Caenorhabditis elegans: one gene and its partners. The protein of the gene in region 4 interacts with the protein of the main gene of each other region in a pairwise test. Each region holds a gene or a part of one and is shown on either strand. Other genes may lie near its edges.

Region 1 (6,014 bases), 8.7 Mb from region 4:
GGTTTAATTAACGAAATAAAACAATAAAAAAATAAAAATAAAATACCAAAAAATGCAATAAAAGACGATAATTCCAAAAAATTCAACATCGGACAGATGCGACACAGAAAAGTAAGCAAAGTTTGAGATGCTAGCTATAATCAGTGTACTTTTTCGAAATTTTGAACCGCCATAAATTTTGAGAAGTTTTTTGAAATTCGAGGAGCAACAAATAATAACTTAGGAGTGTTGCCTAGCACACCGAATTTTAGATAGTGACAAGTGTCACTTCTACAGTTTATAATAAATTAATGGCTACAAAAAGTCAAGAATGTAAATATTTGGAATTGTTTAAAACTCATTCATATATTCCGAGTTAAAAAATTCAGGTTTAATTCTTTTAGAACTATTATAAAGTGCAAAATATTACAAAGTTGGTTACAGATCTTATTATATTGTGTACTATAATATATCAAATACATATATTTCTGAACCATTTAGAAAAAAAATGTCAAAAAAGTACATAAAATGCATACACAATATTTATTGTCAAAATAAGAATTTGTAGAAAAATCATCAATGATAAGTTGAAAAACTATCAGGAAATATACACGCACCCGCAGATGAATAACCTGATAGGGGATTGAGGTAGGGAGAATGAAAGCTTAAGAGATAGATCAAGATGAATGGGTGGTATAGAGAACCGATTTAAAGCTAAGGAAAGAAAAATAAAGCAATTTCAAGAACCTAGAGAAACATTCAAATAAATAGAAGCTTTGAAGTAACGACTGTAAATTTACAACAAAAGTGCGTAAACAACACTAATCTTTTTTTAAGCGTCCGGTATATGAAATACAAACAATTTCATACTTCAATGGTTGAATCGCTTTTAGAATCATTAGAATCATTAGTTTCCGTTGAATCGTTTGACTCGCAGGACACTTCAGAATTTGCTGGTGAGATTTTGGAGAAGAGGAGAAATCTGAGCTGCGCGGCCTCTTGCTCTAAGCTTGAGACCTTTCCACGTAGTTGCATGTTTTCCCGTTCTAAAGCATGAGCTTTTGATGCGATTTGTTCTTCTTTTTGACGACGTGCGTCTCTCGAACGTTTCGCTGCATCGTTGTTTTTGCGCCGACGCTCGAAGTATGCAGAGTCCTGTAATTGCTGAGATTAATTGTGATTTGTTAAGTTTTCAGAAACTAGGAATTTATTAGTCTACAAAAGTAATACACAATTTGCGAAAAGCCTATCAACTAGGAATTAATAAATCTCTAAGCACAGTTAGCCTAGCAAAGAATCATAATTCTATTAGGGTGATAAATAAGTTTTGTCGTTTTTTTTTCAGTTTTGATTTTTTCTAGGATATTTTTTGTGGATATATAGAAGACAGTTAGAATGACAAGCCTATCAATATCAGCCATGATGGGCACCGTTAAGATTATTTCCAACTCCGTTCTCTGCCGATCAAAACATTTAATTTTTCCGATTTTTGTCATTTCTTTGGGAAATCGAAAACTTATACACCCTCAGGTAATAGACTATTAGTTTAGCACATTAGTGTAATAACATCCTCATACATAGCGTATCGATACAACAATATCAGTTGAAAGTGCCGAAAATGCTTGCAAACATGACTTTTTAAACTTTGAACGACGCTAACTCCTGAAACGTAAAAGATATGAAAAAATGATCAACTACAAAATTAACAAGCATTTCAAGCACTACAATGTGTTAGTTGATGACTGTTCTGTATCTTTTGTTGTTTTTGAGTTAGGGTCAGTTGAAGTACGCTAGGCCGAAATTTTGATGATACCATTTTTCCCCATTTTTCCATGTAGCTTCAAGATAAATTATTTAGAAGAACTTTTTTAAGCAAAAATACAATAATTAAATAATTTTATACATTTCATTAGTTGTACGTTTTTAATATTTCATATCCCCGAAAAGATATGAAGCACACATACACTACTAGTTATTTCTTATGCGACTTTTTGAGTTTTCATATACTTTATTAAGGAATATGCCAAAGTTATTCCGTTTTATAAAACAAGAGCTACACATTATCGCAAATCCCATATTAAATATCAAAGGAAAAGTATCTCATATTCACGTAAGTTTATTCAAAAAATCGGTGTGACAGTTGTGTTTTGTGTAAGCCTCTCTTCTAACCACCGTATGCCGTTCACCAGAATGAGTGGGTTTTGTTGTGTAAAATGTACGACCCCTCTATATATTTTTCCGTATGTTTTATGCTCGGAGGGGCACCGCCCGTAAAAGAAAACTTAGATGTAATATGCGTTAGGCCAAAAAAGTTTGAGTCTTTTGTTACAGAAGGACATTAAAGTTTCATAAAACGACAACATATACAGTGCCGACCAATATTCTATTCGTTTTCGCTTTTAAGGTGATTTGCTTGAGTTGTTCAAACAAGTATAACTCGAATACGATAACATCTAGCAAAATATTTTTAATTAACAAAATGTTGCCGTTCATTTTGTCTACACTCTTGATGTTGGTTTACATAACTTTATTACGAAAAAAGCTACATCAGCTGAAATCAGCCGGGACTATATTTTGACTAGAATTGCTAAGTGACCCACAACTTTGTGCTCATGAAACAAAGTTTAATAAGAAAATAATTTGCACCAATTTTTCTACACTCTGCCATTTGCAGTTCTGTCATCAATCGACCAGGAAAAATAATACAGAGGATTGAACATGATTCTCAAATTTCTAGATTTTGAGCATGTTTTAAAAATCCTATTAAATAGCTTTATATAATAGTTTTTGTAACGAAAACTTACATCACGAATGTTTGCAACATGTTTGAAATGTTTTTAAACTCAGAACCTAAACAAAAATTTTGCTCGCATTTACAGAAAATTTGGTCAGTTCTGACTTTTGTAATGCATGTTTAGTCATCTGTATAAATTTCCCTGGGCACTTTGTGACAAAACAACAAATTGCAAAAAGTTGAAAATTCTGTGGAAATTATTTTTTTAAATTACACATGTAGAAAAAGTAACCGGTAACATTTTGTTAGTTGAAAATTATTTGTTAACTATTATAGTATTTAAGTAATATGTGTTTGAAAAACTCAGGCAAATGGCCATAAAACCGAAAGCAAATAGAATATTGGCCGGCAACGTGCCACTATGATATTTGGCCATTTCGCACTGGCGCTACGAAAAATTACAATTTTTTTACAAAATGAGAATGTGGGTACTTGTACGACGCAGTAAATATAGCTTACTTAGTATTTGATGCTAGCTGAACAAGAAGTGATGCTGATCTTAATTTTTTGAATTCCCGCCTCATTTGAATAATATAAATGGTAGCCCAAGTCCTCTACGGGGGTATAGTTGCGCAACACCCCTTCCTGTCCGGTCATGCCCCTCTCGTATATTCATATTCAAATTCCTCCACACACATGAAGGTTTCTCTGTCAGGTAGACTGTATGTAATTACCCCTTCTTTTTCTTATGGCAACAGTTGGGTGGTGCTAAACAATGAGCCGAATCTCGAAGAGCTCTTAATTGGAGGCAGTCTGTACCGCATTATCCCAGGAACAACCAGCGGATTTTTGAATTGGGATTGTTAGGAGTAATTATTCATTAGCATAGCTTAGAGACAAAATGGCGTTGACAATGCTCCGCACTAAGAGGAAACTCCAGGAATACGGTAAATAAGGCAACTTATAATTATAATAGTTTGGGTGGGGGCGTTAATACTAGTTGACTTTCACACTATCAAAAATTCTGACACCCATAAACCATCTCCAACAGACACCTCGCGGTCGTCGTTGCGTAACTAACAGGAGTCGTGTTACGTAACTGTAGTGATTTGAACTTAAGACCACGCAAATACGATTTATGAATATTTTTAACCTCATGGTAAGTCTCTATTGGTTTTCAGATTTTTTGGAATTGTATACACTTGAAACTTAAAAAATTGAAACAAACCTTTTTTTCTTCTGGAATCGGAACCGACATCTTTCGTGATGGTGACCGTTGGGGACTTGAAAACTGAAAATAATTCCAATAGTTTTATAAGTGCTAATAATTTTTCCCAACTCACGTGTGAACTGCTAACCGTACTCGACCTGCTTGACACTGGACTGGCACACAATTCATCTTCTAGTTTGATCTTCTTGGTTGGTGTTAAAAGATTTGTCGTGGGCAGTGAGTCAAATGGTAAAATCCCCAACGGAGTGTCCAACTTCTTTCCGCCGGACTGTGCAGCAAGTGCAGTCGTCAGAATAGAAGTTCCGTCGTTGAATGGGAAACCAAGTGAGCCGAGCAGTGGTTGAACGGCTGCTTGATTTGTGAAAAGCGCCGATAGTGCTCTATGAAAGTCCATTGCGTCTGCTGTGATAATTTGGGGCTAAAAAAGACACAGATTTATTAACTATAAGAGAGTTGAAGAGGTAAATGTTTGATTTTCAGTTTAAACTTCCGATGGATAAGCTAAGTGAATAGTTTTAACCCTAGAAGACAAAGGCTAGATGGAAAATTCCCAAAAAAATCCTTTAATTGATGTAATAGGGTACGTCAATATTGAACTTTTGATTAAAACATTTTTAGAGTTTCATAAACTATAAGCTTGAAAATTCAACTATAGACCAGCCATGTTTCAGGTTACACCATCCAATTCCGTTTCAAAAAAAAAACAAAGATATGCCCATGGTAAATTAAATTGAACAGAAGAATATATTGGAAGGTAGAAAAGAAAGAGGTCAAATGTTTGCACAATCATAAAAAAGAGTAAAAGGAAATGGAGGAAAGAGACAATCTAGGATTAGGGTGGAACCTGAATTGGTAGAGGTTGTTAGATAAGCGGTGAGTACTGATAAAGTCAATGTGGATCCTCAAGTTACTTAACAAGTTTGAAAAGTTGTGTTTAATCAAAATAATTGGAATTTTGCTTGTCATATCTTAAAATGAAAAGTTGAAGTAGGCTAATTGTTATTACAAAAGAGTATATAATATAATTCAAGTTTTTAGCTCTAGAATACATTTCTTAATCAAAAATGATCACTGAAGAAAATTCAAGATGCATACGTTAGATGGGGAGGAAATGAAATGACCTCTACAGTAGTCATATTTGAAATCTATATTTTTTTGTGAATAATTTAAGTTTTATCAGAGTATTGTAACTGGAAACATCTTAAGAGTTTTGCGCGATTTTTGTAGTTCAAAGTTACATATGATTTTTTATTAGTAGAATCAAAAACTAAAAAAAAACGAAGTTGTAAGAAATTGGGTCTACTGGGACCACCCTGTTGCCCCATATACCCATCGGAGCATAAGAGTGATTGCGCGTCGGCTGTCTCGAGAAATGACAGGCGGTATGCGGGATGAGGGTGGCAGCATTTTCCGCCCGCCCTCCAAGAGGTCACCACCGGCCATCAGAGGGTGCAACAGTGCGCAACACTAGAGAGCACGGGAAGAGAACGAGACGCAGAGCAACCGTATGCAATGGCATTTGAATATTCGTTTTCTATGAGAGATAGGTGTCTCGTGTGCATTGGAACGTCGGCTCTTCTTCTGAAGAGGAGAATGAGGGGTTGGTGGTAGACATGGAGGAAGAGACAATCATTACGCAAGTATTTGAATGGTAGGTAGTCATTAGGTAATAAGGTTTGTTGGGTTACGGATTTGTTGAAACATTGAATGAATGTTTTGATGCTGTCTGAAATCACCTGAAATCAATGAGAAATGAAGATTTAATTACCAGCAGTCAGTATTCTAAAATTCAGGGTTTTAATTTTATGGCCTTACTTTCAACAATTAAACCCTCACGTTTGAGAGCACATCTTAAAAATTCAATATTAGAGGGATATCATTAATATTACCACCAAGGCTTCACATGCATCCGAAATCACTTCTCTTCATGCAACAATATTCATCCTCCCGACCTTTCATCCTCTTTCAAGTACCATGTGCTCATCGGTCCCTCTTTTGAACTTACGCAATGGCTAGTAATACTGCGTAACTGTTACAAATCTAGCCTACCGGAGGGTATACGGGGCAGTG
Region 2 (4,141 bases), on a different chromosome or scaffold from region 4:
AAGTTCCCGAAATTAAAAAATGCCGGGAAATCGGCAAGTTGCCGGAATTGAAATTTCCGGGAAATCGGCAAGTTACCGAAATTGAAAATTTCCGGCAAATCGGCAAGTTACCGGAATTGAAAATTACCGGCAAATCGGCAAGTTACAGGAATTGAAAGCTTCAGGCAAATCGGCAAGTTACAGGAATTGAAAGCTTCAGGCAAATCGGCAAGTTACAGGAATTGAAAGCTTCAGGCAAATCGGCAAGTTGCCGGAATTGAAAATTTCCGGCAAATCAGCAAGTTACAGAAATTGAAAGCTTCAGGCAAATCGGCAAGTTGCCGGAATTGAAAATTTCCGGCAAATCGGCAAGTTACCGAAATTGAAAATTTCCGGCAAATTGGCAAGCTGCCGGAATTGAAAATTACCGGCAAATCGGCAAGTTACCGGAATTGAAAATTTCCGGCGAATCGGCAAGTTACCGGAATTGAAAATTTCCGGTGAATTGGCAAGTTGCCGAAATTGAAAATTTCCGGCGAATCGGCAAGTTACCGAAATTGAAAATTTCCGGCAAATCGGCAAGTTACCGGAATTGAAAATTACCGGCAAATCGGCAAGTTACAGGAATTGAAAACTTCAGGCAAATCGGCAAGTTACCAGAATTGAAAATTTCCGGCAAATTGACAAGTTACCGGAATTGAAAATTTCCGGCAAATCGGCAAGTTGCCGGAATTGAAAATTTCCGGGAAATCGGCAAGTTACCGGAATTGAAAGCTTCAGGCTAATCGGCAAGCTGCCGGAATTGAAAATAACCGGCAAATCGGCAAGTTACCGAAATTGAAAATTTCCGGGAAATCGGCAAGTTACCGAAATTGAAAATTTCCGGGAAATCGGCAAGTTACCGAAATTGAAGATTTCCGGCAAATCGGCAAGTTACCGAAATTGAAGATTTCCGGCAAATCGGCAAGTTACCGAAATTGAAAATTTCCGGGAAATCGGCAAGTTACCGAAATTGAAGATTTCCGGCAAATCGGCAAGTTACCGAAATTGAAAATTTCCGGCAAATCGGCAAACCGGCACTTTGCCGATTTGCCGGAAAATAAATTTGTAGAACGGTAATTGCCGCCCACCCCTGGTGCATCTCTTGTTGCACTTATAAACAAATAGTACAAATTGACCCTCTATCAATCCCAACAATCTCAATGATCGTTATGCTTGAACTTTTTCCCCTCCGAATTTCGTTACACTTTTCCCTTTGCTTGCTGGTTGATCTTTTCGTTTAGTTAGGCATTTCATTTCATTTAGGCCCTGCTGCCGCTGTGCAAAGGCGTTTCATTACGTTTTACGGCATGCGCCTTCTTTCTAATAAAGTGTCGGCTTATCTGTCTGCCGAGAGGCTTTTCGAGAACAAAGTGCATTTAAGTGCAGCTTATCGCCTTTTCCAAATGTTGCATATTCTACGAAAAACTTTTGGTATACTGATAAGGCGATAAGGCGAGTACCGGTGGACGCTACTCGCGCCAAAAGATACGAAAACCGAAAAACCATGTTCAGTGCCAAATAATTTAGAACACGTACATAAAAAAGAAGATGAAGCGAAAAATGGACAGATTTCCTTGAAAGCCTTCAATTTTTCAGAAAAAAATCGTCTTCTCCGATGACGTGGAATCCTCATCAATCACCTGAACTCTTCTCCTCAAAAGCTGCTGCTGTGTTTTCTTTTCTCTCACCTTTTCTCTTCTTTTTTTTTCTATTTTTCGAAACAAAAATCGGAGGACATCACGGCGCACACTCTGCGGTTCCACACCCCGCGCGCTATCTCACCGCACTGCCTAACCGACCTATCTCTGCGTCTCTCACGCCGGCACGCTCTCTCCGCGCTAAGGCCCGTCACAATCGATAGGCCGCGCTCGCTGTCTAGGCCTTTCATTCTTTCACCCACTCGCGTCTCGTCGTTCGACGCGCCTTCGCTTTTTTAAGGCAATTTTTCGACGAAAATGTGGCCCCCGAATGCAGAGAATAATCACTGCAATTATAGGTTTGTTTTAAAATGGAAATTTGTAATGGAAATTGAAATTGGAATTGATAAATTTTTAGGAAAGCCGAGAAAAATTTAATTTAAAGATTTTTCTATTCAATAATTAATAAAATAAATATGCAAATATCGATTTTCGCGAGAATAAAATATTAAAAATGCAATATATTCCATAAAAAATAGTGTTTTAATTAAAAAATATTCGAAAACCCCTTTTAATTATTGGCTATTTCTCACAATTTATAATATTAGAAGCCGAAAATCGATATTTTTCACAAAAATCAATTTTTTTTTCATTGAAATAATATTTTATTCTTATTTTTGCGATTTTTTCAGGTCTTATGCGGAATTTCAGAATTTTAAATTCCAAACTTAACTACAAAAGTCCGCATTTTCTCGTAAATTGTCGTGCAAGTACGCAAACACCATCAATTAAAAAAAAATTAATTTTTTTTAAAACGTTAAAAAAAAACGTTATAAACCCGTTTTTTGAGTTTAAATTCCAGGAAAATGGGCTATTTCGAATGTAAAAAGCAAAAATATATTAATATAATTTCAGCTACCATGAGCACGCCGAGCTGAACCCCCACGACCACTACCACCACCATCACTACCCGCACTCGTCGGTTCATCACACGGAATGCTATCAGACGCTGTCATGCCCATCGGATCTTCCAGTCGAGACGTCCTACTACAATTCTGTGCCACCATCCTATCAAGGTGATCGATTATTTACAATTTTCTGCCAAATCTGTCTTGAATTTTCAAAAACCAATAAATTTCCAGATCTCGGCCAAACCGATCTCAGCCCTCAATTCTGGTGCGCCGAAGTGGATTGTGTTCACGAACGTTGCTCAACAAAGGAGATTCCACATGAGCAATCGAAGATTTTCGAGGAAATCTCGAAAGAATGCGATCATATTATGAATAGCGCCGGCGACTGCGAGAAATGTCAAGTAGAGCACGAGAATGGTGCTCAAGAAGCGATTCCGATTAATGATCTCGTCGATATTGTAATGCAAACTGTCGATAATTTGAAGAAGGAAGGCTCGTCGAATGGTAGTTTTATTCAGGATTAAAATTAAAATTTAATTATTAAAATTTCCAGATGAAACCAAGCTTCTATCCCGTAAACGCCAGCAAAACAAAGTTGCGGCCGCCCGTTATCGTGACAAGCAGAAGGCGAAATGGCAGGATCTTCTGGATCAGCTCGAAGCCGAGGAGGATCGTAATCAGCGGCTCAAGCTTCAAGCCGGACATCTCGAGAAGGAGGTCGCCGAGATGAGACAGGCCTTCCTCGCCAAACTTGCCAAAAAATGATTCTTATATTATTTATGTCTCCAGCCATTTTCCCCCACATACTTGTATATCAGTTCAACGATATTCTCTGGAAATTATTAGTAGATCAAGCAACTCGGCAGATTTGGCTACCTGGCGCACACACGTGATGCGCATGGCGCGCGCTCGCAGCTCGCTAGTTATTTGGTATCAAGCGCCAGACGCGTTCTCTGCGCGCACCAGTTGCATTTCCATTATGTATTATCATTGTTATTTTTATATTAATAAACGAATTTTTAATAATAACACGCGTTTTTCAATAATCAAATGTGAGATTATACGATTTAGGGAACTTCAGGGCTCTAAAACTTGAAAAAATTGGCCAAAATCGAGAAACATTGCGAAAAACTGTTTAAAGTATCGATTTTCTTCAATATCAGCAACATACAATTCTTTAAAATGATTATTTTTTGTAAATTCGATAAAAATTAATTTATTTTTCACAATTTCTGCCCGAAAATTGCCGAAATGACCAGCGTTTCTAGAACTAAAACAAGTGTCGTCAATTAAAATGCCGCGTCCGCAAAATGTCGTACGAAACTTTTCGCTGAGTATCAAACGTTGAATATTCAGTCAGCCAAATTTTACTACGGTAGAGATTTTACAGCCACGTACGGTTCGCCGGGCCGTGTTAGTGCAATAACAACTTTTCGGAATGTGTGTTTGCACGAAAATGGGCGGGGTTTGTTGTTTACGTTGTTTACCGTATTGAAAAGGCGCGGTATTTCAAAAAATAGATTAGCGAGAGTTTTGAAAATCACAATTTTCCGATCGAATTTTTCATTCTTA
Region 3 (7,769 bases), on a different chromosome or scaffold from region 4:
AATCTGAAAATCCTACTCTAAATAAATATAATTTCAGATTTTCCGGATCCACTGAAGAAGACCACAAGAAAGGAGATGAAGCCAAAAAATGATTGATTTCTCTGTGATTTTTTTTTCAAAATATTTTTCCCTTCAACTTATCCCTCTTCCTCGTCAACATTTTTCTGTCAAAAATCTCCTCACTTATTAATAAATGGCTAGACTTTCATCTTTCAACTTTACATGACTTTTTCGCAAAAAAATTTGGAAAGTTCATACATCATTTCAAAGTCAAAAATTTTGAAATTCTCTTATCAATTTTTTTTACAGAAAAAAGTCTTGAAAACTCACGTAACACAGTTTTGTTACGGATATTTGTTGCATAAAAAAGTAGGTAGGTACTAGGTACGTATAAGGTAGGTACGTATAAGGTAGCTACGTACTAGGTAGGTACTATGTAGGTACCAGGTAGGTACTTAGTAGGTACTAGGTACGTGCTAAGTAGCTACCAGGTAGGCACACCATAGACACTTTTTAGGTAGTAGGCAGGTACTAGCTAGGTATTAGCCAGGTACTAGGCAGGTACTAGATAGGTACTAGGTAGGTACGAGGTAGGCATTTAGTCACAATTGTTTTATTAATCCGAAAACTTTACTATTTCTGGCATTACACTTTTCACTTTTTTTGAACTTTTCAGTATCTACAACTCTCAATCAAAATTTGTTTTTTGCTCATTTTATCAGTACTTTGTTCGGGGGAACTTAACTCGGACAAGACGTCCATTGCTGACGCGTTTCTCGTGCGTACTTTGCAGACCGAAACCGGGTGGGTTGATGAGATCAGTGATAGACACCAGTTTTATCAATTCTGTCTCTTTGTTTTGTGTATTGATTTTTTTTTGAAATTTTTTTTTGAATAGAAAGTCGCAATTTTGAATTTTGCTTTAAGTTGGTATGATCTTTATGTTTTTCAAAAAGTTGTGGTGAATTTAGAAAAAAATAAATAAAGTTCCAGAAATGCGGAAAATGATGCAAAATCATCAGAACACACGATTTTATTTCTCTGCATCACTAATTCTCTTTAATGATAAAGAGATGGGAAAAAGATCAAACTATCACCACCTGTTTGTTTCCCAAAAGTCAATTTTGCAACAAAAAATAAATTTAAAATTTAAATTTTATCTGTATTGATAACAGATATGAAAAAGTTGTCAACTATCAAAACCTAGAAAATTAAATTTTTTAGGTACTAGGTAGGTACAAGGTAGGTACTTGGTAGGTACCATGTTGGCACTAAGTAGGGTCTAGGCAGGTACTAGGCAGGTGCTAGATAGGTACTAGGTAGGTATTAGGGAGGTACTAGGAAGGTACTAGGAAGGTACTAGGAAGGCACTAGGTAGGTACTAGGTATGTGGTAGGTAGGTATTAGGATAGGCACTAGGTAAGCACTAGGTAGGTCTTGAGTTGGTACTAGGTAGGTACTATTTAGCCACTAAGTTGGTACTTGGTAGGCACTAAGTAGGCACTAAGTAGGTACCAGGTAGGCACTAGGTAGGCACTTTTTTCTTGTTCCTGATCACCCAGAAGCCAATCATAATCCTATTACAGTTTGGTCACAGTTTAACAAATGATAAAAATCCTCGAGTCAACAAAAAGTGTAGTCAATCGTCTACCTTTTTTGCATTTTGTGCTCGATTTTCTTGATTTATTGATGAAACGTCAATAAATAATCCCTCCGTTATCACCACCATATTTCACTGAATTCTTGCATACCCCTTCTGTGTTAGGAGCCGCGCTGATAACGAGCTCATTGAGCCCTCCGGGGGCTTCTCACACACTCGAACTTGATTTTATTAGTTGTTTGTGCACGTTTTCATAGGTAAAATTTGAAATTCAGAGTAGCTTTTGGTGGATTTTTTAAAGCATTACCGGATGATGGGGATCTCCTGACACGGTTTGTGACAGTAGAGGTAGGTATTTTTAAGTGACAACATAAATTTTATCAGTTCTACGTGAACTTTTTGGTATTTTTATTGGTAATAGTTGGCCTGCATATATAGGTACTAGGTGGGCACTAGGTAGTCCCTAGATAGGCAGTAGGTAGATACTAAGTAGGTACTAGGTAGGTACTAGATAGGCACTTGAAAGGTACCACATAGGTAGGCGCTAGATGTGCACTAGGTAGGTACTAGGTAGATACTAGGTGGGTATATTAGATAGGCACTAGGGCGTTTTGGTACACAGTTGTAAATAGGTAGGTACTGGGTAGGCACTAGATAAGCACCAAATAGGTAAAATGTAGGTATTAGGTAGGTACTAGATAGGTACTTGGCAAGTAATATACAGGCGTTTACAGTCTTTCAAGCAGGCAGGCGTTTTTGAGACGCCTATAGGCACTGACATAGATTCGGTAAGGATTCTGTGTGACCTATTTAGACACTCACAGTACCAGCCTACCTCATAGGCCTACTTTTTGCCTGCTTGCCTACCTACCAGTATCAAAAGTTCATAGTGCAAGTGTGCTCCACCGCACCGGTGTGTGACCAAAGTGTGCTCTGAAATAGTGTCCTGTTGTTATCGGGAGAGTAGAAGAGTGAGAGCAACACAAAATGCACAGACAAGGCTCGAGAAGTACCTGTCTTCCTACAAATAATTGTTATCAGCACCGTCTCTCTTTTTCTCTCCAACCAATCAAACGGTTTCAGTTTTTTTTTCCTTTTTTTTCGGAGTTTTCCAGCCGCTTTTTATGGTAGTTTTATGATTAGATGAATTGGAATTCATTGTTTTTAATTTTATTGATTTTTTCATTTTGATAATTGTGAAAAAGTAATACGGAGTGTGTAAAAAGTTCAAAAATCCAGTTTAATGAAAAGTAGAATAAAATTTGTTTTTGAAATAGGTTGAGGGTTGTTTAAAAATGTTCAATATTTCCAAAAAGTGTCTCAAAAAGTCATACTAAATTTGTCTAAAACTTTGTAAAATGTTCTATTTTGAAAATGAGAATTTGTTGAAATATCTGTAAAGCAAATAAAAAAAACCAGAAGTGAAAATTTACAATTTTTGATTGTGTCAGCAGTTTTCAAAAGACCTATACTAAATTTTTTTTTTCATTCAATTTTGCTCCGTTAGAAACTTTTTGGTTTCAAACCATTTAGGAGCTACAGAACATTACTTTAAACTGCAAAATGGTACAAACATAAACAAAAAAAAACATAAATAAATTAAACGTTTTTTTATAAAACCAAAAACAGCAGAGATTTAAGCTATCAGATTTGAGTTTTTTTTTTGATTTTTATTTTCTAAATATTATATTTTACAGAAACTAAAAAAACTTCCGCACTGTAAATTTCCATTTTTTCCAGTGAAAAAACCTTCCCTGTCTCCAAAAATGCAGCCGTCATACGATGCGGACGACTTCATGCGGCGTGGATTTTTCGGCTCTTTTATCGGATTCCGGAAACGATCTTCCAGCAAACCAGGTGAGCTTTATGCAAAAAACGTCACTTATTCTCAAATTTTCTCACGCCATTTGATTGATTGATTGATTTTTTTTTCTGTCAAACCTAACTAATTTATCAATTTTGAAAATGTTAAGTGTTCTTTGCTCCGAGCTCTCCCTATTTGTGGAAAAAATTGCCCATTTCGTGGGCATGGCTTGCTCACCGATTTCTGGCTTCCCTCATAAATTGAAATGGAAGAGTTTAGGCCGAATTAGGCCATTTTGACTCGACCATATCTGGGGTAGATTTACGGCGCTTTGCGTGTCGCGTCGCGGCTAGTTTTTAGTTGTAAAACTAAATGTATTTGTCCGTGTGTGGAGTACACAACTTTTCCACGCGTTGTCCGGCAGGCAATTGTCAATGGAGCGCAAAAAATTCAATGAGGAAGGCCAGACCCCGTGCTTGCTTGCAAAAATCTTAATGGTCCGACAACTGCCGGATTTCGCCCACTGCAAAGTTGTAAATAGTGTGGCGTGGAACCCAGAAATTGTCGGGCTATACATATTGCATTTAAAGGGGATTTTTAGTAAAATTTTGCAAATTTAAGCTCCGCCCCTTTGTTTAAAGCAAAGTTCAAAATGTCACGAAACGTCTCAAAACTTTGCTAAAAACTACAGTACCCTTCCGAAAAATTGCATTATCTATTTGGCATCAGTCTCATACATTCTATTTCTCATCTATCAAATATTTCAATCTTCAATTTCTTCTTTCCTTTCTCTCTCACGTCACATTTTGTTCGCAGGTGGTGGTCGTAGAAGTGACCGACGAGAAGAACTGTTCTTTTTTTTTGGTTTTTTGTTTTTTGTTTGAAATCTAAGTAGTTTTCCCCCTGTTAGTAGAGCTTTTTTTCTCCAAAAAGTGGGCGTGACCACAATGTTAGCTCCGCCCAGAAAATGGTCGTGGTCTATTCATAGTTGGAAATGTGTTTCGAATTTCGGAACATCTATAACTCCGTGAAAATGTAAAAATTTATAGAAAATGGCAAAAACTTCAAAGCGGTGTTTTGAAAACTTATTTCAAAATCGGAAAGTAAACCAAGAAGTGGGCGGGGTCTATGTTCGACTCCGCCCACAAAATGGTTCATTTTTTTGTGAATTTAAGATGAAAACTCCAATTTTTTGGAATTTTGATGAGAACATTTTGCTTCGAGAGCTTCGGAATTTTTTGTCGAAATTGAAAAAAAAAACCCTAAAAATTTCTAATTTTTTTTTTTTTGGAAATTTTTCAGAAATTTTCAAGTAATTTTTTGCCGAATTTTGACATGTGCTTTTCACAAAGAAGTTCTAAAAAATTTGCAAAAAAAACGAAAACTTCTAGGAATTTTGCTTGTAAGTGTACGCTTTTTTACGATTTTCTAAATTTTTTATTGAGATTTTTTTAAAAATTGAGAAACAATTCCAGAGGTGCTTCAAAATTTGCAAGACCACATGTTTTCTTCCTATTATTTTTTGGCAGCGTTCTACTTTTTACGGTCAACATGGTCATGTTCATAGTCTGCGTCTCTTGCATTCTTACAGTCTATATCTCCAGTTCTCTGCGCATCTTCCTCTCTTTATAAGTTATCAGCATACTCACATACACCCAAACCAACTAAAATTGCATCATATTATGTTTGCCTGACACTTTTGAACGAACAAGAGAAAAAGAGAAAAAGATGAAATCAACATTTTGTTTCAATTCTTGCAGAGCCGCCAGTTCCACCAAAGTTTGCTCCGCCGGCAGCTCCATCGGTGGCTCCGAATTTTCGAGCTTCTGACTCAGCGGCTCCACACCTTTTGAGTGTCCCGTCGAATCGTACGGAATACGATATTTATCGAGAAATTGTGTCCGAAGCGGAGTATATTGAAAGATCATCGCCGGTTAGTTTAGATCAAAAATTTTTAGTTTCTGCCATTTTTTGGGACTTTTTTTCTGGTTTTTGAAACTATTTTTTGGAGATTTTAGCTTAAATTTTGGTGCACACTTTCAAAAATTGCTTCAAATTGAATGCGATTTTTTTTCGATTTTAAGAATTTGTAAATGCCATTTTCCGGTAATTCAAAAAAATTGGTGCCAGGCTGTCTCATCACGTTTTGATCTACAAAAAATGCGGGAATTTTTCGTCCAAAACAATGTGACGTCAGCACGTTCTTAACCATACGAAATCAGTTGAAAACTCTGCGACTCTTCTCACGCATTTTTTGTAGATCTACGTAGATCAAGCCGAATTGAAACACTCTGACACTACGTGAAATCTAGATATTTTGAGAAATATTTGGTTAGTTTTGGAAATCACTATTTACCTACTGTCTTGCTAAGCCTAACTTTGTAGGTTCCATTTTTTGGAAACCGTTTTTTTTGATAATTCCTAACTATAAGTAACTCAAATATTTTCTACAAAACTGGGAGAATCTCCGCCAATTTTTGATTAAAAATTCTCAAGCTTCAAACATTTTCCAGGCCTCACCAGACTTCTCGTGTCCAACAACTCCTCAACCATCCAACTACTACACCCCGCTCCCATTACCTCAACAACCACCAACATTTGACCCATCAACACTAATGCCCCAGCAACAAATGATGTTCCATCCAGGTCAATATCATATGGTTATGAGCCCGATTGCTCCGCACCCGATTCCAGTTGATACGAATGGTGTGCCACTTGGAACTCGTGAGTAACTTGAGTTTCCCTCCAAAAAAAATTTAACATAAAATTTGAATTTCCCGCCAAAATGTTTTTCGCAGAAAATTTGAATTTCCCGCCAAAACATTTTTCTTGATAAATTTGAATTTCCCGCCAAAATGCTTTTCGCAGAAAATTTGAATTTCCAGCCAAAATCGTTTTCTTAGAAAATTTCAAAGTTCTGCCAATTTTTTTCCGAGACCACGTGGTCAGTCAGAGTGTCTCATTTCGGCTTGATCTACGTAGATCTACAAAAAATGCGGGAGAAGAGACGCAGACTTCTCAACTGATTTTGCGTCTCATTTTTTTGGGGAAAAAGTTCCTGCAATTTTTGTAGATCAAACCGTAATGGATCAGCCTGACACCATGTGTGAGACTGATTGAATTTCACAAAATCTGTATTTTTGAACACCAAAAGTGTTCTTATTATTGGTTTTCAAAACCATTTCCAATAAATTTCCCTTAATTTCCTTGTAAAAAACTGGCCAAAAAACTCATTCAAACTGATTCTAACTGCCTAAAATAGAAAAAAAAACGGCAAAAAAAAAATTTTGGGGGCATTTTTCATCGAATTTCCAGTTCTGAACTCTGTAAAATTGGAAACAAAAATTAAAGAAAAAATTTCCAGAATGTCCAATGGCTCCACCACCATACTCTTCCTTTGCTCCACAATCCTCATCATCTGGAATGCTTCAGCAACAACCACAGGATCTAGTGATTCCCCAGGACATTCCATTTGACGTGAAACGGGAGATTCAGGAGCATTTAGTGGTAAGAATTGGGGTTTCAAAATCCAAAATATGAGCTTATTTTGCAGCTCCAAAACGGCAAGAAACAAATGTCAATCGAAGAAATTGTCAAGCTCGTCGTCGTCGCCCTCAAAGATTCCCAAATCGAAGAAGGTCGTGAAGAGGAAGAGTCTCCCGAGGAAATTCTCCGACGAAAGAGAATTCAGAACAACCTAGCGGCTGCCCGGTACCGCAAGCGACAACGCGAGGCTCGCGAGAGCGCCGAGAGTGAGCTCGGTGACCTGACCCGACGGAACGATGAGCTCCGCGATCAGGTGTCCCGAATGGAGCGGGAAATTGATCGGCTGAAGCAAGCGGTGCTCGGAAGACAGTGATGAGTTGTGTTGTGATAACATGCCTACAATATGCCTACCTTATCCCCGTGACAATCTACATGAGTTTTTTTTTTGGTATTCTAATTTTATGTACAAATTTGGTATTATATTCACTTATGATTTTTGTAATTTGATGCATTTATATGAAATTTTATATTTTTTAATATATATTTTAATACAACCTAATAACCCTAATAACTATGACCAAGAATTGTTCAATTGTCGAAAATATGTGTCCGTCTCCTTCCGCAACTCGGAATCTTTGTCACACTCCACTGGAACCACCTTGACTATTGTAGTTTTCCGTGCCACTGCTACAATCTTGTTGGAAAATGGACAAAGTTCATAGTTCCTCCAAGCATCGACGGAATGGATCAGTGTCGGGCCAATGAATGAGGGGCCTCTGGAAATTGAAAATGTATTAGTAATAGATGCGTATTCAATTTTGTCCCCGCGGGGACTGGGCCGAGCCCGGCAGCAGTGCAACGCCAGGACGACCCTTGGGA
Region 4 (2,807 bases):
ATTTGAGGTTTCATCTTATCCTCGACTGGTTTCATTTTTTCAATGAACTGAAACTAGTTTTTTAGGAACAGTTGGAATACTAAAATACATACCACTCTATGCTTTAAAGCTCTTTTAACAGATGGTTCTACTGTAATTGACTCTCCTTTCATCATTTTCGACATAAGGACAGTCAACTCTCCAAGGTACGCTGTCATTTCATAGTTTTTCAGCTTCAGAAGACTAAGCCCCTGTAAATAAAAAAGTTTTTGAATAAATCTTGAGGTTTTCATTTCACTTCTTTGTCATCGTTCGTTTCCTCCATCCGATCGAAAACTTTACTGAAAGCTTTTACTGCTTCTGCAGTTTGAGTTTCCAGTTCTGCCACTAAATCAGCAAACGCTTCTTGCTCCGTTTCGGTCATCTGAAAGAAACGTTTTTTTTGATACAACACAAATTCAAAAAGTTAATTAATAAGATCATTCAAGATAAATTGTTGGAAACGTACCACACAAAAAAAAACAGTTTAAAAAAGAAAGTAAAGCGTTTTCTAAATTTATTTTTCTTTGGTTATTGGAATGCGTGAATTGAGTTATTTGTATAAAATTTACAGAAATGGTGGATAAATCTTTGATTAAATTGTTATCTACACGGCGGAAGAAGATGGTGGTGGCGGTGGTGGTGGTCCATCATTTCCGTCGTTTTTCGCATATGCCATAAACATTTCTTTAAGAAATGATAACTCTTTCTGTAGCTGCTCGACCTGATAGAGGGAATTAATTAAAATTAAAAAATCAAGTAAACAAGTACCTTTCTTTCTAGTGTTTCGTTCTCCTTTTTTAATTCGTCTACTTTTTCTGCAGTGTCATTTTCTTCCTGGCGTTTTTTTTGTCGGGTTCTGGAATTTTTAATTAGATTTTAGCGGCTAAAAATGAAATTTTACCTGTTCACAGCTTCGTTATTCCGTTTTCGTTTAGTGGAATAGTCATCTTCATCGTCCTCACGAGGCTCTGATGTGTTTCGCTTCCGATTTCCACTCATCGCTTGAAATTGCAACAAAAAATCGAGGAAAACTATGGAATTAATAGAAAAATGATGGAAAAAAGGTTTTGTGGAATTACGATAAAGTACGCGCGAGTGTGTAAAACGGAGCGTCGTTGCGTGAGACACCACAGAAATTCGAGAAAGGGGAACTAAAACTCCTGAAAAAATATATAGGAAAGAGCTACTTTCACGATATTCACGATAAATTAATTACTTTATATTTCTCGAATAAAACTGAATTTATTTTAAAATATAGTAAATGAACTATGTACTACACAAATTATTTAGCCAGCCAATGCAAAAGTGGAGGTACAGAGAGCATATAACCATGATCGTAGATGTAAATTCTCTTATCATAAGCATTATAGCTAATCATATTGGCGTTCTTGTACAAATTAATCCATTTAATCAAAGGTTGGGAGTATGTGTTTCTGTAGAAATCGTATGCCGTAGAGATATACGTGGATTGTTCTGATGCACTTTCCACCTGGAATAATGTTGATTTGATTTTGCTATTGGTCAAGCTTGATATCAAATAAAAAATTCTAAACCAAATAAATTGTTCCACAAACGACGATTCCATTTGCAACATCTGTATGATTTACTGTCGTGAGGTTGAATGCCTCATAAATTGTCAAATTATTTATATCCACCTGGAATAGTACCTAGTAGATAGATTTCAATGAACAACTTAAAATTACTTTAGCTACTGATAAGAAAGCTTCTTCCTGATAGTGAAACATGACCCAAAGTGCATTTTCATCGATTGCCAAGTCAAAATAATTCATCGAATTATTATAAAGGTACTGAAATTGGAAACTTTGACTTAAAACAATTTCAAAACTCACCTGATCCCCACGATAAGCTGCTCCCGGTATTTCAAACTGTGAGTACTGTTTCGAGTTGAACTCGTATTTTGCAATAATTGGATATCCTGCTCTTTGATAGAAAAGAGATGCATTGAAAATAACATGATTTGTTCCATCGAATATATATGGAAGGCGATGGCTGAAAAAGAATAAAAAGTTCTCAAATATTTGAAAAATTTTGAAAGAAAACCATACACTTTTCCGACATGGTCCCGTCGCATTTCAGCTTCATTCCTAAATTCGATGAGCTCGTGGCCTTGGAAATGGTTCATTACGTATCGTTTTCTAGCGTCCTGAAACAAGATATACATATGTTGAGATATGCCTTTCTCATAATGTACAGTATACCAGTACTCGGCGAACCAGTGAGTTTCGGTTTGTGACAGCTTTCCAAACTTTTTTTTACTTTTTCCCGGTTTTTTAGCATTTTCATGCCCGAACGTCTCGACCGGAAAACGCCTCCGAAAAATGAACCACGAACATACATACAGAAAGAGTTGAATAAAGTGTGAGCAAATTTTTCAGTTCCATTTTCAAGCTCCCAAACTTACATCGCCGGTTGGAGGGTATGCATCTCTCATCCAGCTTCCATAATATGTTGTAGAATGAGAATGGAACACAGGTTTTCCAACGTTTTGAAGTCGGCAATCTTAACATTCTTCAACTCCTTTTAAGACTGAATATAATACTTACGGGCAGTAACTCCTTGAATATATGCAACTGGAGTCGTAATGGTCTCTTCAATTTCTTCATCGAGAGTGTAGTTTTTCAAACATATTTTCACGCATCCCTCGACTTCACTGTAGTTGGAAAGGATCTGAAAATATGCTTTGGATCTGAAAGTTATTACTGAAGTCACCTGCTGAACCAATCCAGGCATTGGTTGATGTGTGACTGAAGGCCAGGGAGTTGTTG

Evidence for each region.
Region 1: the proteins of cebp-2 (region 4) and ces-2 interact in binary tests that used the Caenorhabditis elegans proteins (3 or more experiments, as listed by UniProt).
Region 2: the proteins of cebp-2 (region 4) and zip-11 interact in binary tests that used the Caenorhabditis elegans proteins (3 or more experiments, as listed by UniProt).
Region 3: the proteins of cebp-2 (region 4) and zip-3 interact in binary tests that used the Caenorhabditis elegans proteins (3 or more experiments, as listed by UniProt).

Annotation. Positions count from the first base shown.
Region 1 is NC_003279.8:14,959,851-14,965,864, reverse strand, and holds ces-2 (Transcription factor ces-2), read right to left. Parts: upstream 4,369-6,014; 5' UTR 4,339-4,368; coding exon 4,057-4,338; intron 4,005-4,056; coding exon 3,942-4,004; intron 1,135-3,941; coding exon 844-1,134; 3' UTR 504-843; downstream 1-503. UniProt on the Caenorhabditis elegans protein: Transcription factor. Required to activate programmed cell death in the sister cells of the serotoninergic neurosecretory motor (NSM) neurons. Negatively regulates the activity of ces-1 which in turn negatively regulates the activities of cell-killing genes.
Region 2 is NC_003282.8:3,309,592-3,313,732, forward strand, and holds zip-11 (Transcription factor zip-11), read left to right. Parts: upstream 1-1,684; 5' UTR 1,685-1,976; coding exon 1,977-2,017; intron 2,018-2,573; coding exon 2,574-2,734; intron 2,735-2,800; coding exon 2,801-3,073; intron 3,074-3,122; coding exon 3,123-3,334; 3' UTR 3,335-3,598; downstream 3,599-4,141.
Region 3 is NC_003280.10:13,951,562-13,959,330, reverse strand, and holds zip-3 (Transcription factor zip-3), read left to right. Parts: upstream 1-1,750; 5' UTR 1,751-1,948; intron 1,949-3,340; 5' UTR 3,341-3,366; coding exon 3,367-3,457; intron 3,458-5,164; coding exon 5,165-5,337; intron 5,338-5,917; coding exon 5,918-6,128; intron 6,129-6,768; coding exon 6,769-6,911; intron 6,912-6,957; coding exon 6,958-7,263; 3' UTR 7,264-7,425; downstream 7,426-7,769. Other genes in the region: Protein rpi-1, read left to right, coding at 38-92; sre-44 (Serpentine Receptor, class E (Epsilon)), read right to left, coding at 7,462-7,666.
Region 4 is NC_003279.8:6,251,297-6,254,103, reverse strand, and holds cebp-2 (CCAAT/enhancer-binding protein homolog 2), read right to left. Parts: upstream 1,023-2,807; 5' UTR 1,021-1,022; coding exon 923-1,020; intron 878-922; coding exon 790-877; intron 743-789; coding exon 626-742; 3' UTR 520-625; downstream 1-519. Other genes in the region: lpd-2 (LiPid Depleted), read right to left, coding at 1-47, 93-230, 278-403; cof-2 (Olfactomedin-like domain-containing protein), read right to left, coding at 1,304-1,510, 1,575-1,676, 1,725-1,829, 1,872-2,031, 2,088-2,185, 2,444-2,541, 2,586-2,709, 2,752-2,807. UniProt on the Caenorhabditis elegans protein: Transcription factor that binds to the promoter and the enhancer regions of target genes. Regulates expression of genes involved in fat metabolism, including ech-1.1 and fat-5.